Neodiprion lecontei: one gene and its partners. The protein of the gene in region 1 purifies or fractionates together with the protein of each later gene. This does not show direct contact. Links are inferred from orthologs where the notes say so. Each region holds a gene or a part of one and is shown in the gene's direction. Other genes may lie near its edges.

Evidence for each region. The genes of interacting proteins can lie anywhere in the genome.
Region 2: the proteins of 7SK snRNA methylphosphate capping enzyme bin3 (region 1) and squamous cell carcinoma antigen recognized by T-cells 3 purify together in Homo sapiens (affinity purification with mass spectrometry; 6 studies listed by BioGRID and IntAct, counting the BioPlex papers as one, with this or other methods). This does not show direct contact. The link is inferred for Neodiprion lecontei from reciprocal best matches to the Homo sapiens genes MEPCE and SART3.
Region 3: the proteins of 7SK snRNA methylphosphate capping enzyme bin3 (region 1) and U6 small nuclear RNA (adenine-(43)-N(6))-methyltransferase purify together in Homo sapiens (affinity purification with mass spectrometry; 3 studies listed by BioGRID). This does not show direct contact. The link is inferred for Neodiprion lecontei from reciprocal best matches to the Homo sapiens genes MEPCE and METTL16.

Annotation. Positions count from the first base shown.
Region 1 is NC_060263.1:3,587,178-3,592,874, forward strand, and holds 7SK snRNA methylphosphate capping enzyme bin3, read left to right. Parts: upstream 1-1,868; 5' UTR 1,869-2,042; intron 2,043-2,561; 5' UTR 2,562-2,584; coding exon 2,585-3,510; intron 3,511-3,640; coding exon 3,641-4,031; intron 4,032-4,119; coding exon 4,120-4,338; intron 4,339-4,424; coding exon 4,425-4,985; 3' UTR 4,986-5,165; downstream 5,166-5,697. UniProt on the Homo sapiens protein: S-adenosyl-L-methionine-dependent methyltransferase that adds a methylphosphate cap at the 5'-end of 7SK snRNA (7SK RNA), leading to stabilize it.
Region 2 is NC_060262.1:27,133,174-27,139,579, reverse strand, and holds squamous cell carcinoma antigen recognized by T-cells 3, read left to right. Parts: upstream 1-1,800; 5' UTR 1,801-1,988; coding exon 1,989-2,460; intron 2,461-2,878; coding exon 2,879-3,060; intron 3,061-3,175; coding exon 3,176-4,053; intron 4,054-4,254; coding exon 4,255-4,912; intron 4,913-5,026; coding exon 5,027-5,174; intron 5,175-5,418; coding exon 5,419-5,864; 3' UTR 5,865-5,874; downstream 5,875-6,406. Other genes in the region: uncharacterized protein LOC107219862, read right to left, coding at 6,322-6,386. UniProt on the Homo sapiens protein: U6 snRNP-binding protein that functions as a recycling factor of the splicing machinery. Promotes the initial reassembly of U4 and U6 snRNPs following their ejection from the spliceosome during its maturation.
Region 3 is NC_060264.1:4,387,273-4,393,210, forward strand, and holds U6 small nuclear RNA (adenine-(43)-N(6))-methyltransferase, read left to right. Parts: upstream 1-1,787; 5' UTR 1,788-2,265; intron 2,266-2,272; exon of another isoform or gene 2,273-2,440; 5' UTR 2,441-2,505; coding exon 2,506-2,610; intron 2,611-2,784; coding exon 2,785-3,004; intron 3,005-3,083; coding exon 3,084-3,224; intron 3,225-3,357; coding exon 3,358-3,727; intron 3,728-3,827; coding exon 3,828-4,029; intron 4,030-4,110; coding exon 4,111-4,614; 3' UTR 4,615-5,406; downstream 5,407-5,938. Other genes in the region: switch-associated protein 70, read right to left, coding at 52-175, 387-502, 606-812, 887-1,006, 1,172-1,270. UniProt on the Homo sapiens protein: RNA N6-methyltransferase that methylates adenosine residues at the N(6) position of a subset of RNAs and is involved in S-adenosyl-L-methionine homeostasis by regulating expression of MAT2A transcripts.

The DNA of each region.
Region 1 (5,697 bases):
ACACTAGTTATCAATTATATTATACTATATTATTTAACAATAAACAATCGATCACGGACTATGTACGAATAAATTAACTATATTCTGAAGTGAGTGAATTCTCCCGGCTTCGACGGATTGGTCAATTCTTCCCGGTTACCTTGGCACGTGCCGCTTCGATCATAATTCTTGAAGGAATAGCTCCAGCATAGGTCTTTTCTAGTTTCCTGATCATTTTCCGCCGCTAGATCCGCTTTGTTTTCCTTATCATACGTCAAATCGTTCTTCAGTACGTTTCCTGCTTTGTTACGGTTCTTCTTTTTATATCCCTGACCCATTCCAGCAGCGAAGCTCTGCCGAATCACTGTGGAAAGGTTTGCTTCGTCTGTAGGGATGTTGAGAATTTTTCTCGGCATCACGGCACCGTCTATTAATTTTCCCCGCGTATATTTGTCCTGGTTTTGAACCGACTTCTTCGGCGTAACGAGGTAGTAATTCTCCTCGTTCTCCCTGTCGCTGTAGTAAACAAGCTTCTTTGGCCTCAACACCTTCTTGTCGAATTCCTTGCGAGACTTGATCGGTGCTCCTGGCGTCGAGGCGCATCTTTCCTGAATATTCGGTGGCGTGGCTCGACCATTTTCATTCACATCCTCGTCATCCTCGCAATCCTCGTAGACCAAAACCCTGGCTGCAGGGTTCGTCCGCTGGTTGTTCACCTTGATGTCGAATCGTTGTTGATTAGTACTTGATACCTGAAATAATATTGCGCATTGGTTACAAATCATTATCTGCGTAAACGAATTAAAGAATGATAATCACAATGTGACTGCGTTTCTCACCTTGATACTTTTTTTCTCGACCTCGGTGAAGTCGTGAAAGACGCTGGTAACCGTATCGAAACATTTCAATTCTTTCGAAATTATTTTACCCTGTATTTTACGATCACTTCCTATCATTTCGACTCCGTTCTTCGCTGGTTCGGAATTGAATATCAACGCTCTCGCTGCCTTCTTCTTCCTTTCCGCCATTTTATTTTGTACTTTTTCACATTGGGCGTACAATAAGCTCTTCAACGCATAATGTCATGGAGATATACATAATTCATCCGAAGATAGATTCATATCTGTATACTTACTTCGTTATCCGAAATCTCCGAAATGTGAAGCTGGTATGCAAACGTAACGAAACAAAAAAATCTCGCGAGTGACGATTAAAAATTTTAAACCGTCATTATCGCGGCTCTCTTCACATCGTCCCTTTTATCACGAGTAAATCACGCATTGGCCTTGCCAATGATTAATATCTGAGACTCAGACAAATGGGAAATGCTAATTATTACTGAATCGTCAATCACCACTGAGTAAAAAGAAAATGATAATCGGTATTGTAATAAATACGAGTCCGTGGTACCAACAATTTTTTTCAGATATTTTTTTTTTTCCACGTTCCTCTTTCGAGACAACGGGACAACAATTCAGAAATTAACGCAAGCTACCAGTTCTTTAATTACTTCTCATCACGTATACGGAAATGATCAGGACTTACCTTAAGTAAGCAGATTGTAAGGTGAGAACAGGCCTGAGTTGGAAATGATAAGAACGAAACGGAATTAAGGTAACGAGTGCCAAAAGATCGGATGACTCGCAAGTGAGTTCGCAGAACATAATCCGAAGTGAATATCTGTTTGAAAAACAATTGAACAGCAGCCGCGGAAGATTACAAATATCCGGCCAATCAGATCACCGTATACAGCGGCAAGGGCCAATGGCCAAGCTGCTTCAACGCTGGGCGGGAAACCGCGAAATACCGCTCCTTTTTTTTCGTGTTGCGCAATGTCGCCCGAAGTTAACCGAAGTCGGTTCGGCTCGGCAGGCAGCAGCCCACATGGAAAATGGAGATTGAACAGAGTGAGCAAAGGAGGCATTCGCCATCGTTGATGGTTGTATGGCAGGCGTCGTGAAACGGGCGGGTCGCTGCAGCGAAGAATAGAGCGTATTTGTGTGCTTAATGACTGTCGAAAGTGGACCGAATCGAGGAAGAAAATAGCCGCGAGCAGTTGAGAGGTAATGTTTAACGGGCTATTAGCCACAAAATTGTCAAAACATTATATTAAATTGCAGACTTCACGGGAGCTGAACCATTATCGGGGCACGTAAACTACCCATTGCGCATGCGCCGTTGCGGGAATGATAAATTTACGCGCAATACGTTTGGCTAACGTTTAATTATTCGACTGGATATATTTCCACCTCACATACCTGTCATTCCGAATTTTCCTCGAATTTTCATGCATCAATTCACCCGCCGTATCCTCCCATCTCTAAGACCCAATCTCTTTGTCATTTTAACTGATATTAAACAATTAACACCAGTCGTACTTAAAACCTTATATTTTACTAATTAATTAAAATAAGAACGTCCTGTTGTTCAATTTCACACATTATTTTATCCATGCCACATTTATATCTATACGAGTCGACTGCTTGCCTAGTGCATTCGTGCCTTTTGTTCTGATTCAAGTATTCAGCATCAGGCGCAAATACAATTTCTAACAAATTTTATATTTAATTTTTTTATTTCAGTCCAGTGAATCAGAATTAGCGAAATGTCATCAGCTCAACTTGATCGTCAAATGAGGATGGGGAGTGTGAAAGAAAGGAAGGAGAACGAGAAGGGTAAAAAATCTGTCAACCTGGTTTACAAGAAGCACAAGCACGAGGAAAGTCGTCATTTTAAGTTCAGCAGAAAACGTTCGCAGAGTTTTACAGGGAATGGAAAATTTTTCCCACCTCATAAACGGCGTAAGAAAGACGGAGGTATTATTCCGCCGACAAAGTTTTTGCTCGGCGGTAACATCTGCGATCCGTTGAATCTGAACAGCATGCAAGACGAGGAGATAAACAGAGCGATGAATGCAGTTACTCCGAAGTCGAGTCCTCTGCCGACGCCGAAACATAGGAAAGGCGCCATCGAAGTTATCATTCCGCCTAACATATGCGACCCTCTGAATCTGAACAATTGTAATGACGATGATGAGTACGAGAAACATCTAATTTCCCCCACAAAAAAGGGCTCCAAGAGACGAAACAGAAAACGCAAACGCGCATCGTCCAGCTCTGGAAGGGACGATGCTATTGAACCAGCTTCGGAAGCAAAGAACAGCGAAAAGGAATCGGTAGAAAATGCCGAACCTGTGCCTGCTGGCGTTGAAGAGAAGGTCGAAATTAAGCTTGCCCCTGCACCTCTGAGTTCTCCGCCTAGTAATCCTCCAGTAGTGGAAACTAAACCAGAAACTACTAGTCCTCAGAAAGATAAGAACAAGTTACGCCTCAAGGGGCTCGACGATCTGAAAGACAAACGACTGCGTAAGGTGGACGTTAAGGATAAAATTGTCAGTCCTGTTATCCCACAACCTGGGGCTTGGAAACCGAGACCGCAGCATCGTGCTAGTCAAGACAAAAAGAAAAAGGCACAAAAATTGCCCAACTTTAGAGCCAAGGATGCGCAGTATCAATACGGCAACTATAACAGGTATTTGTTTAATTAAGTAAAGTTATAATTCTCTTAGTATTAAACATTTTTCAAATATCTACTTTTTTGAGTTTATTACAAAATGATTAAAGAATCAAGGACTCATTTGGTAAATTAATTTTATTTCTAGGTATTACGGATATCGAAATGCCCATGCCGAAGAAGATGGAAGACTCGGCGTGTTCGCCAGAAGAAAAGAGTTATTCTACGGGAAGGACGTGCTGGACATAGGATGCAACATTGGACACATTACATTGTCGATCGCCCGTGATTTTGCCGCACGTAGCGTGACTGGAATAGACATCGACAGGAAGCTGATTAACATAGCGAGGAAGAATGTCAAGCATTATGTGAACTGTGTCAGATCACCGGCGACTCACGAAGACGGAGGGAAAGGAAAAGACTGCGACGCGAGCTTTTATCCCCTATCGATGCCAATCAGCTACGGACTTATCGATATACCTGGTTTTACAAAGAACAAAAGTCAAAAAGGCTTCCCATACAACGTCACCTTTGTACAGGTAAGCAGCGATTTCATTTACATCTGCAAAAACTCGCTGTCATTCCAAAAAAGCGTCCTGTAACGATTTTTTCTCTACCATTTTTCAGGGTAACTATATATTGGAAGACGACGCGCTGCTGGCTTCGGAACAGCCGCAGTTCGACGCTATATTATGCCTGTCAATAACAAAGTGGCTGCACTTAAATTTCGGCGACTTGGGACTGCAGAGAGCTTTCAAAAGAATGCACGCCCAGCTGAGACCCGGCGGTGTACTTGTACTCGAGCCTCAGAGTTGGGGCAGCTATGGAAAGAAGAAGAATCTCACTGTAAGTAATCGTGATCGTTATATCTGGACGGCGCAGTTTTTTCGTTATTAAGAAAATTGATCATATACTTCTGGTTATGCTTTCAGGAACGGATATACAAGAATTATCACAGCATCGAGTTCTTACCGCACAAGTTTACACAGTATTTGCTGTCACCGGAGGTCGGTTTCAGTAAATGCGAGGTAGTTTCCATACCGCCACATCCTTCCAAGGGCTTCCAGCGGCCGATTCAGCTTTTTACAAAGGCACCCCTGACTCCCGAGACCGCAGGTGAACCGACACCAAGCTCGATGGCGCAAAGTGAACGCAGAGATTTTGAAAGGGATTTATTTCCAAAGGATTCTAAGAAGGAGGGAGGGAACATGTCGGAGATGAGTCAAATCAGCACGGAGTCACTCAGCCAATATGAGCAGTTAGAAAATGTTTACGCGCCCAGCGCCACACCCTGCTACGATACCCCGTGCCACACAAACGATAGTCAGCCGATAGAGCCTAAGACGATGTGTTACATTGATATGGATATAGAGAATGCGGAGAGCGCTGCTGCTGGTGCTGCTGCTAGTGCTGCTGCAAGTGCGGCAGTCGGTGGCAGAGGTGAGAAAACAGACATCGGTAACGATAACAAGCAGCAGTCAAAAGGCAGATGATAAGAAATTTGAAGAACTGTCGATGATAATCACTACGAGTAAATTAACCGAGTATCAACTAAAGCGGATAAAAATTCGACTGCAGAACGAGAGGGTGATATTTGAGAGTAGAGAAGGAATGAAAAAAAAAAAAAAAGATACCTACTTGTGATAAATGATGGACACGATTGAAGCGGATAATTGATACTTTGTTGCCAAAGTTCAACTCGAAACCACAAGAAAAATAAAGATATTGACAAATACCAGTGACGACAATCGCGAATGTCATAGCCTAGCTACATAGCGTTCTAAAAAATGTATTTCTGATCAACGAGATGGAGGATAATGTACTTCTCTTGGGCTCGACGGACAAGAAGAAGAAGAAAACGAAGGAGACGAAGAGGTGAAAAATAAAAAGAAGTATATGAATTTGAGCGGAAGTATAAATGCGGCAAAGTGCGGTAAAGCAATAGGTAATAATATCGATAAAAGACGATGCAAAACACTGTCAAGAGTGACGAACCAAACCACTATGAGCGTAAAACAATTCTGCGATCGTTAACAATATGCGAGAAGAAACAGAGATCGATTGTATAAATATGTACGTAAATCTAAGGTAGAGCAATAGCTATGAGAAAGTAGACGAAAGAGACTGGAGAATAGATGAAACGAGTAAAGTGACGAGCAAAAGAGAAGGGAATTAATAGAAATGAGAAATATCTATCTATAGATG
Region 2 (6,406 bases), on another chromosome or scaffold:
ACTTGTATCGAGTAACTCTGAAAGCAGACACATTGGTCCAGTCCTCCCGGTATTATGGGGGGGGGGGGGGTTCCCCGTCTTATTGTCATAAGAACCTGTCTTCTATCCAATTGACGTGTACAAACTGCTCATTTTGTTGGAAATGTTTTTCTGGTCGTTGAAGAAAGAGTTTACGGAAAATCTGGACTTTGGAGATCTAATAATTCATGCCCAAAATTAATTCACATGTTTCATTTGTAAGATGAATGGATAATTATAAAAATCCATCACGAATATGACAGTTTAAAACGTCGTAATTTCATTTCGATTACAAATTCCGGTCTAATGTGAAACAGGTTACAACTGCATATATTTGCCGATATTCTGAAAACAAATTTGTCGTAAAATATGAAAAATTGTACATAAAAAATTCAAGCTGAGTTCGATGTTTACGTCTGATTACTCGATCACCTCGAAACGCGTCGCCGGAAGAGAAAAAAACGCCCCTAAACGCGTCGCGAGGAAAAAGAAGAAGCGTCGTGTTTCGAGGTAATCGGGCAAGCAGATGTAAATATCGAACGCACTATTATTACTCATTATAATGGTCCTGTTTCTTTGTGTTTCCATTTTATAGCTATTCACTATAGTTTAAATCATCCATAATGACGATTTTGTTTATGCATATATTGGTTTCAAGTCGTCACGGATGAGAGTAAATATAGAGAACTTGAACATGCATTGCGACGTAATATCTGCATTGCCCTATGTAGATATATGCGAAAACACAAAAAGAAAAGCTGAAATCGTGCACGTAATCGCGTTTCCTTATTCTTATTGCCTCACACATGACTTCATAGATTACTAGACTAATTGGAGAAGTACCACATTAGAAGTATGCATATGGATATTCATACACATGTGATTATGTGTACAACGGCTGAGACCAACAATTGCTGTTGAACATTCTTTCTGTATAATAATGTAGTAACATAAAGCGTGGGCAACTTCACCGTACGCAAAATACTGTAAATGTGACTCTGGGCTAAGGAGCGTTAAGTCTGACGCACGTTACTTAAAAAAAGTTTAGAAACCGGTCCCCTGACCTTTTTTCTCCTCTGCAAAAGCCGTACCTATATGATCATATGTAAGGGGAATAACACTCAAAGTTTCAATACCAATACGTATGCAGATGTATATTTATTTCGCGTAGAGACAAACGATAGGAAAAGTTTACTATAAATACATACAAAAACTGATATAAAATTTACTCGTGTGTAAGGAAAATTCTTGGTACAAAGTAGATGATTTTTTGTGATGCATTATTGGTTATAGCATCGCATCAGTAAGTCGTGTGTGAGAGCAACAAAAGCTTGTACGAAATTTGCGAAAGCTTCCCTATAATGAAGGAATAGTTGTTCACAATATGTATTACCAACTATCTTACAGCCTGTTTGATTGCTTGGCCTTTACACACAAGGTGCTAAAGAATTATCAGTAATATTTTTTGGATAATTACGAAGGATTGTTTGAATCGTGAGATTGTTGAAAAGCTTTATAAGTTACAAATCGGTATGACAATCCGTCAGGATTATTTAAAATAATGCGGAAGCTTTCTTTCTGTAATTCTATCAGTCCTAATACCGCAATTTCCAAATTTCTGCTGAAAACAAGATCCACTTTGTAATCTCGCTGTGATTTCATTATAATCATTATAATTAAATCTAACTTTCACAATCGTTTTTGAAATAACCCTTCGAAGCGACTTGTGGGTAATCGCGCGGTAATGCGCAATCGACGTCTGCGCAGATGTTACTCATTTATACGTTGTAATTTCGGGATGTATAAAAACATAACCTTCAATGTTTGACACCCTGAGATCCTGACCGTGTCCTAAATGTTATTCTACGAAGCAAATAGAAGATCGGTCATTTTCATAACATTGGATCATTAGCCGTATAGGGTTTGATATCGAAAGACATCGTACATAATACTCGCGTAAATAACTAACAATGGATGAAATGGAGTTGGAACATCCTGGCGAGGACGAGAAAAATGACAGCGATTTCCTTTTGGACTCTGATGGAGAACAGGGTAATAATCTTGATAATTCCAACTACAATATGATAGAAGACGAAGCAGATTTTGAAAAAGAATTAGGAATGGATGACAATGATATTGACGACGACAGCGATTCTGATGACGAAGAGGCTAACGAAGCAGAAATCAAACTCTTGAATGCTAAGCTGGAAGAAAGTCCCTATGATTATTCTAGCCATGTTGCTTTGATAACAAAATTGCAAGAGATGGGCGAGAAATATTCAGATCAACTGAAAAGTGCCAGAGAAGCTATGAGCTCCAAGTATCCTCTTAGCTCTGAACTATGGCTTTCCTGGTTGCGAGATGAAATCGGCTCGGTTAAAACCAGCGCTGAACGAGAGGCGGTCACAAAGTTGTGCGAGCGAGCAGTAAAAGACTATCTTTGTACGTTCCATTTGTTTTTTGTATTTCACCTTTATTATCCTTTAGAATTCCTTTTTCTCCTAAATTTTTCACATTATTCATGTAATCATAAAAGTGCAGAGAACAAAGGCAATTGTTTCATTCATACCGTAGGCACTGTTCACATTATCCTGTCACAATCTATAGAACACACAAATTTTTTTGCAATGGCTAGGTGCATTACAACTTTTTTGCTCTTTTATTTATAGTTTTTTTTTTTTATAAGGGAAAAATCAACTCTTTGAACAACCTGTAATTGTTGAAAAAATATTTTCTATTTAGATTATAATGAAATTGTAAGAATATATGAAAACTTGTGTAGCTCAATCGAAAACTAACTAATTTTCATTATAGATGAGAGACATAATATGTCATGATCCAATATTTCAATTTATTACAGCTGTGGAAGTTTGGTTGGAATATCTTCAGTTCGCTATAGGAAGTTTGGGTACTGCTACTGACGCTGCTACAGATATTAGAAATTTGTTTGAACAGGGATTAACCTGCGTTGGCTTGCACGTTACCAAAGGCGCGATCATATGGGAAGCATTTAGAGAATTTGAAAATGTGTTAGTTTTAATGGTAAGACTATCATCAAACACAATAATCAAAATCTATCAATACTTTTAATTTAAATCAAATTTTGTAGCATGATTATTATTTCACAACAAGTCTGAACAATCATTTATATTTTCAGATCGACGCATCTAACGAGTCGGAGCGCAAAGAACAGATAAATCGCGTTGGCTCTTTATTCAGACGTCAGTTAACATGTCCTCTACTTGACATGGAGAAAACGTATGAAGAATATGAAGTGTGGCGCGCTGGCGACGGAACACAAGCAACCCTAGACGACAATGTTGTTTTAACTGGCTATGAACGAGCGTTCGCAAAACTGAACTTGCGTTTACCTTTTGAAGAAAAACTTATTTCAGCTCAAGGTGAGCCTGAATTATTAGATGCCTTTAAAGCATATCTACGTTTTGAAAAACAACACGGAGATCCAGCACGTGTCAATATACTTTACGAACGAGCCATAGCTGAGCTTAGTTTGGAAGGTTCGCTGTGGCTGGAATATATTACATACATGGAAAATAATATAAAAATCCAATCCATTTTGGAACCACTGTACGAAAGAGCTACTAGAAATGTACCATGGTACGTAGTAATTTGGCAAAAATGGTTAAGAGCCTATGAAAGATGGGATAAACCATTAACCGAAGTGCAGGCATTACTGGAGAAAGGTTTAATGGCTGGTTTCACATCTGCTGAAGAATATCGCAGTATGTGGCTGACTTACCTTGAGTATCTACGTCGCAGGATTGATCTATTCCCAGATGACAAGAAAAAACTCTTGGAAATTATCAGAGAAACATTCAATCGCGCTTGTGAATATTTGGCAAAAGCATTCGGTCTGGAGGGCGATCCCGGATGTGTGGTATTGCAGTACTGGGCCAGAACCGAAGCAATTCATGCAAATGACATGGAAAAGGCTAGAACCTTGTGGGCTGATATACTCTCTCAAGGACATTCCACAGCTGCTGCCAGTTGGTTGGAATATATTGGTTTGGAAAGGTACTTAATGATTTGATAAGTAATATATCATATTTCAAAACTCTTTACGGGAACATCTAGAAGATCTAGAACGTCATTATCTCAGATGCGATTAAAAATAATAGTCCAGCTTATACCAAGTATACAAAAGTTACTGTATTCAATTTGTTCTAAAATGTAATCTAAAATAATCAATGATTCCATTTTTATTCAATGTTCCAGGTGTTACGGAGATACAAAGCATCTTCGTAAATTGTACCAAAAAGCACTGGGATCTGTCAAAGATTGGCCAGAGAGCATAATCAATGCTTGGTTAGATTTTGAGCGGGATGAAGGGACATTGGAACAGTTAGAATCCTGTGAGGCGAAAACAAAAGAGAAATTAGAAATGGTTGTCGAAGAGCGAAAGAAGGTGCAAGCTGCTGCTTTGCCACATGAAGTTACGTCTGCACCAGCCAAACGGGCAGGCAAAAGAAAACCTGAAGATACAGGTAGATGGAAAAACTTGCAAGGATCTCCGAATAAGCAAGGAAAGTTTGAAGCAACTACGAGGCCAAAGCTGAAGGAAAGCGTTCTAAGTGTGGAGAATAAAATAACACCACCACCTGGCTATAAGCCATCCAAAGACGAATCCAGCACCAAGCCGAAACTTGCACCACCGCCAGGATATAAGTCAAAAGAAGTTGAAAAGATGGATGAAGATAACTCGCGCACCGTTGATGAGAGAATAACCGTTTTTGTTAGCAACTTGGACTACAATGCAACGGAAGATGAAGTAAGAAACGCCTTAGAACCTGCAGGACCAATTACTCTTTTTAAAATGGTACAAGATTTCAAAGGTCGCAGTAAAGGGTTCTGTTACGTGCAGCTTAGCAGTGCAGTGAGTATTTAATTCATTACCTGCACGATAGGTTGACAAAGATGACCTAATTTTCATACATGATGAAAGTAAAACTACTGGTCAAAAATTTGCAGTCATAATTTTTTGTTACAGGATAGTGTTGAATTGGCACTTAAGTTAGATAGAACACCAATTAACGGCCGACCCATGTTTGTTTCTCGATGCGATCCTGATAAAACAACCAGAGGACCAGCATTCAAGTATAGCTGTGGATTGGAAAAGAACAAACTCTTTGTAAAAGGTAACATGTTACTGTCAACTCTTGTCTTCCCAATTTAGAAGTCTTAAAGTCAACAGATTGTGTTGTGAAAAAGAAAGTCAAGTTGCATACATTTCTTGGAAACCCATCACGTTTCTGCTGAAATTGAAAATTACGGAAAAGGTGGAACAAAATATGTTAAGTCGCATTATGAAATATGTTCAAAATGTATTTTTCGAACATTTGCTTATGGAACAGCAATTACCTCAACTTCTTTTACCCAAAGGTCTTCCTTTGACGATGACAAAGGAGCAAATTGAAGAACTCTTCGGTGCTCATGGTATCCTAAAGGAAGTTCGCCTTGTAACGTATCGCAATGGGCACTCTAAAGGTATTGCTTACATTGATTTTAAAAGCGAAGTTGACGCGAGCAAAGCACTGATAGCTACTGATGGAATGACCATAGAAGACAAAGTAATCAGTGTTGCTGTCAGTCAGCCTCCTGAACGCAAAAAGGGATCGATCAATGACGTTAGTCTTATTAAATCTCTTGGTGGAACAACCACAAGCCGAACTGGTTCCAATGCGCCAAAAACTATGCTTTCTATGATACCACGCAGTGTGAAACCTCTGTCTAAAAATGGCGATGCAGGAATATCAGGTAACGTTGTTGGCAAGGAATCACTGAGTAATGCAGATTTTAGAAATCTGCTACTTAAGAATAAAAAATAATTTGACGCGATGCGCTGCTGCAGTTATTTTGAACCTTCTCGTCAAGAATCTGTCCCTTGAAGTGTTGATATTATATTCTTAACATTTCAGTGATTACAATCATCATAGCGTGAGAAAAAGATAAAAATTATAATTAACGGGACTTGTTTACACAAGGTGGCGTCGATCAAAATCCACGAAAGCATGTGGCTATGTCTAACAGTTTTGCTAGTCTATGCATATAAATATTTATTATATTCACAGGCTCGTGCCTGTCGGTTTTTTACAGTTTTTAATGCTATCTGATAAACTAAAAATCATGCACCAAGTGAGGAAACATCCATCGCCTAAAATTCCCGTCGATATTATGATGTTTTCAAGTAAAGGTAACTCATTATAAGATGCTGAATGTTCTTTAGTAGCAGAAATCTCAGTTGACCTCGCAGATATAAATTGAGGGAAAAGTGAAGATTGATTATTAGTTACTAATTGAAATGTCCGCACAAGCCCTAAATTCTTCCTGCGGACCACAGCCGAGAGCCCCTGTAACGAAAGTATTCTTT
Region 3 (5,938 bases), on another chromosome or scaffold:
ATCTCTGAAAGATTGATATTTCAGAACTTGATCGCCTTAGCGGTGCCTCACTTTTTTGATGACGTCATTAACATAGATCTGGTAAAGGTCATCTATAGCCTCAGCTACAGCAGCTGTGTCCAAAGTTCCTCCACCGCTGTACTTGGACTCCAACACTGCCAGAAATGTGGGGAATCTTTTTGGAAATACGTTTAACTAAATGCTACATGGATAAGACAAGGAGATCCTGCTGCTTTCAGTCTGAAAGTCTTTCAACTTTAGGTACAGTGATTTTTTACGATAACTAAAACCAAGATAAATGTGAACAAGTATTTCTGCATTTGATTCAGAACACAACTTCGTTTATGAAACGCATAACATGCAGACATTTGCAAAAGAGGAATTACCTGAATGCAGTCAACGCTGCAGATAATTCGGCAAAGTCTGACGAGTCCCAATGAAGACCCAATGATGTCACGAGTTGGGAAGATATTTGAGCTACCTCGTTGCTGTGCATGGTTATCTATTACGAGTAAAAAAACCTCAGATTAAAAAGTGTTAAGGGTTTTAGAATAAGATCTGATTGTTTGGAAAGTAAGGGAGTAGAATTTTTTACGATGACTTACGAGATACGATGACTCTGCGTTATGTGTTCCCATCTCTGCTAAAAGACAGAATATTCTGAAGAGTTGATAAATGCTGCGATCTTCAAAGACTCTGTGTTTCTGATCTGCGTACGCTTTTCGAGAAACAAGCCAGCATATCTCCTCGATGCGTTCTTCAAGAAGTCTGCAGGTTTGCATTGGTGTTGCATCAGAAATAGAGGCAAAGACCTGAGATGGATAAAATGACTGTACCGACAAATGATGACGATAATAATAAGAATAAGTATAGTGACAAAACTTACTTCATTCTGTAAGTAATATAAAAATTGATCGAACGTCAGCCACTGGGTGCTTCGGTAATCATCGAGCCCCTTCTCAACCCCATACAGATCCATCAAGGTTCCAAAGTTGGCTGTCAACACCTGAAGTGACATGTGAAAGTGTCGTGAAAAAAGCCACACCCTCAAACATAAAGTTCTAAGAAACTTCACGGTTAAGTAAACAGCTTCAGCATTATAATATTTACTAATCACGTCATACGGCGTGCGTTTGTCAACATTGTGAGATACGCTCGAATTCATACGCACCTTTAATTTAGATTTCGCAACGATACCCGGGGTGTCACCTTGCAGAGCGTAAAACGCATGCCAGATGCTGTTTGTCAAGTTTTTCAACAAATACGCCATAGTTTATCGGTAGCGCTGATTCAACAGGTAGCTTGGAAGAATCACATCCTCGCCTAACAATAAGACCGAATGGGACTTGGTAAAACTGCAGAGGAATAATGACTGGCTGACTGGTGACTCGACACTACTCCTTGCTTTATCTGAATTCCAACCTTCTCCCTTCGCATACATACAAGCCCACATATTACGCACGAATATGGGTATGATATTCGCTACCACTGTCGGCTCGCGCCGAAGCCTATCGTGGGATTGTGATACGTTCGCCTCTGCGGAAGAGAATGAAACTAGGATTGTTGAATCAAGTCAACTAGCGGCTGTAATCAAGAATGACCATAGTACGCATGTAGTACACACACACACACACACACACATACGCATATCGTACTTTGGCACGCACCATAGCACGCATTATCAGGTGGTACAAATGCGGTATTGTGATTGGTGAGATGCGCGATGAATGAAGGAGTGGGCAAGACAGCTAAATTCTCAGTTTCTGAGCTCTCATCAAAAATTAAATGATGGCTCCATTACATTCCATTATTTTGCCATCATTTCATTTGAGGAGAGTCAGTACTAATTAGCCTTTAAATTCTGAAAATTGATCATACAGCCGAAATAAAATTGCAGGCACCGGCATCGGTGGCCATCTTGTATCTTGTGTTTGAATTCGTCTGGTTTTAATGTTTTGAAAACATTTTTTACTTAATTTAAAGCTAAATTTTCATCTGGCTTGCGTTACTTCAGGGCGGACCAAGACGAAAAAAGTTGATTTTGAAATACACTATTGAAGAATACATGTTCATTGTCAGGAATTTGTCACGAGTGCGACTCGAAATTCGTTCGTACCTCGGCAGCTGCGTATTTGTGTTTGTGCTGTCGGCTTTAAATGGCTTCAGTAAGAAAGTATGGAATCTGAGTCCATATAAAGACAAAACGCAGGATTATAAGGCATACGAAGACCTGTGGAAGCGAGGAATGTGTCACGGACCTACTAGGTAACAGTTCAGTGTTAATCGTCAGTTTTCCCGTACACAACAAGTCAAGAGTCTAATCGAATTTTTACACTAGTTTTTTTTCAATCATTCAAGCGAAGCCGGTAGTCGAGAAGCACGTCACTGTATGTCTTGCGAATTTTAAACCTTGTGTAATGGCTTGTTTCAAAACCTGCAGCGTGCGGAATCACATGTCAGGAAACGTTGATATAACCTATAAATCCAGTTGCGTCGAACAAAAAAATGTCTTTGCGACGGTTCATGCATCCGAGGAACAAGTACAAGCAGGAGCCAAATTTCAAGCAACTAGCCATACTTTATCCGGAGTTTCGTAAAATTGCGACAACGGTAAAAACAGTATATCACATTGAAACATCACAGTGCTCGCATGTGCCTATGACATGTCTAATCACTCGATTCCCGCAAGACACTACACACGCGATCGATTATTTTCTGTTGCACCTGATTCCTCAGTTTGAATTCGCATTTCTGTTATGTTGCATAGATTTTATTACATTTCAGGATCTCGCGGGAAAGGTGCGGATTAATTTCCATGATCTAGAAACCTTGAGAATACTGACCAAAACCCTTCTAAAACATGATTATGATTTGAACGTAGATCTACCAGCCACAAAGCTGGTCCCAGCCGTACCTCTGCGTTTGAATTACGTACTCTGGATAGAGGATTTAGCAAAGCACGCCGGTATTACAGACATGTCTTTGATTTCTGGCATTGACATAGGTATAATTGATTCACCTGAAATTGAGTTTCAATTTTATGTAGTGCTGTTGATATACTTTTAATTTAACTCTCTTCAAAGGCACTGGAGCGGTGTGCGTCTATCCATTGTTATTTGCAAAGATCTATGGATGTAGAATGATCGGCACGGAAGTTGATTTGGAAAGTTACGAGTCTGCGGTGCGTAATGTAAATAGCAACAACTTGCATGACCTCGTTGAAGGTAAGTAGAGTCTAAATGGCTCAACGCTGTTACTGTAACAATAATTCCCATCATGCTCTGTAATTGTTAATGATTTTTCTAGCTACAGATTCCTTCTTTAAATGAATATAAAACTCTTTGTCTATCTCATCAGTGATACGTGTAAACAGAGGTACGGTACTCAGAGGGTCAGTACCTGAGAACAATGTATATACATTCACAATGTGCAATCCGCCATTCTTTTGTGCCGAAGAGGACACGGCCACTGGATCAAAACCTTCAGGTTCCCGAATGCCCCCGCGAAACGCACCATCTGGGAGCGAAGCTGAATTGGTCGTAGAAGGCGGGGAAATACAATTTGTTTTGAAAATGTTGAACGATAGTGTCGAGCTGAACAATAAAATAAAGATCTATACAACTATGCTTGGTAAAAAGACTAGTCTTACATTTTTGTGCAATGAATTCAAGAAACGAAATATCGAAAACTCTACATGGACTGAATTTTGTCAGGGTCATACAACTAGGTAAAGCAATTACATGTGTTAAATTATCAAAGTTCTTGGTTAAGATGTCAATTTTTAGAATACAATATCATGACATAAATTATCAAATTTATTTTATTAGATGGGGTCTAGCTTGGACTTTTCTGTCAAAAGATGTGCTGGACTTGACAACTGCACCAGTCATAAGAATTAGCGGATGCAGCAAAAAATTAAAACAGAAAGCTAAACGACCTCCGTCAGAAATAACTTTCCCTGTAAGAGATGGCATGACAGAGACTAAGGAATTAGTTTTAATACTGAGACTTTTATTCAATGAGTTGAAGGTAACGAGATCATGTATCTTTCTTTTAATGTTGGCAAACAAATTAACTGGTAGATATTGACACTAAAATTGTATTGAACAGATCCGAGTTGAAGAATTACATGTGAATCCGCAAGAATCGAGTTATTGGTGTTGCCAATTGATGGCTGATGAGGACACATGGTCACATGGACGCAGAAAGCGTCGAATGATGGCTAATCAAAGTTTACCATCTAAAAGGCCTTGCCCAGATATATTTTCTGAGAATGATTCTGAGAAACAAGAAGCCTTGGATGCATCTTTCGGAGATGATTCTGAAAGAGAAGAAAAGACTACAGCGTTGCCAAATGGTGTGAATACTCAGCCCGTCAAAGGATCGTTTTTAATTTGCGATTTGGTTGTGGGGGAGATCGAACCTAATGATAACGAAAAGAAATTGAAAATATCAATGATATTTGAAAGTGGTTCTGGAGGTAGAAATGCATTGGAAACGTTACGACAGTATTTTATAAATAAGTTAAACGTAAGGGAGTTCATAAAAGCTCAAAGTTCAGTTAAAAATAAACAAAGAAAGCGACGAGTCAAACTGAAAAAGGATAAGACGTAAGATCGTTTAACGTATCAATGAGTTTTGAAGATATGACAGAACCATTGTAATTATTACATGGATACTGTGAACGGACATAATAAAACTTAAGTTATTAGTTTGTAACGAACGTAGTTGCTTGTCTGCCCTGCTATCTGATCTATTCGTAACTACTATTCTACTAAAAAAAATAAAAAAAAATTTTGTAGATTAGTATTCGTAAATACTAATCTACAAAAAAAACAACATCAAATGTGTAGTAGAATGTGAGAAATTTATTGATTATTTCAAACAAACATTAAAAAATGTTGTATTCATTTTGCTCATATTTCAACGAGCGAGAGCAAACACGCATTTCATATAAAATGGTTTTATTCACGTGATGATTTTTACCAAATTACATAACAGATAATATATGTATATCAGGTATTTAATGTTTATCCTTACCGACTAACAGTTTTTATCATTGTTCAATCTTCCTAACGAGTGCGAGAATAATATTACACTAGATACTAAGAGAAAAAAAAAAAAAAAAACCAACAAAAACAAATTAACGAGTGAAGAAAGTTTCTTCTCATTTTGGCATTATTCTGACGAAAAACATAATTACCTCAATTTTTTATGTTTTGCTAACCCAGTACTTGTATTACTTCAAATATTAAAGTAGTGATATTACAAACTGCTGTATACGATTCATTTTCGTAATTTTCACGACGCAATTGATTATTTGATGTTAGTTCAAGACGGATGATTTAAACGCGTATTTTACATTCACTTTGACGTTCAATTTTATGGAGATACTTGTCGAATGATTTGTATAATGAAAAAATGACCAGTTTTCAATTCAAATTCAGAAAAAATTTGAAAAGCTCAAGAATGATATAACTAAGTAATTGCTAATTAGTGGCATGCTCTAGGAGAGCTTTGTAGTATTTCCAAACAATGCAACTTCCCTTTATTTTATTCATGATTATCAACAAACGAAAAGTCAAACGATATAGTAGTACAGTAATGAACCACAGCATTAAAAGTTCTACGATTACCACATGACTTGAAATCGAATATGTATATTTCAATTTATACGAGTATGCTACTTAGTCATATATTGTAGTTACATTTATACGTAATATTTGATATTCGAAGACTTCATGCTACATTATTTGATTACTCTAAAAATCACCACTTCTCATCTCGCTTGTCTCAAAGTTCTTATCTTTTTATTATTGCAATAAGCTTTGAAATACGGTATCTAAAACGCCGTAGCTAAAATTAATGATTGCAAAATAATGTCTACGACTGCAAAAGATGTATTGACGTAGTTATTTAGTTATGTTCTCACATTCAT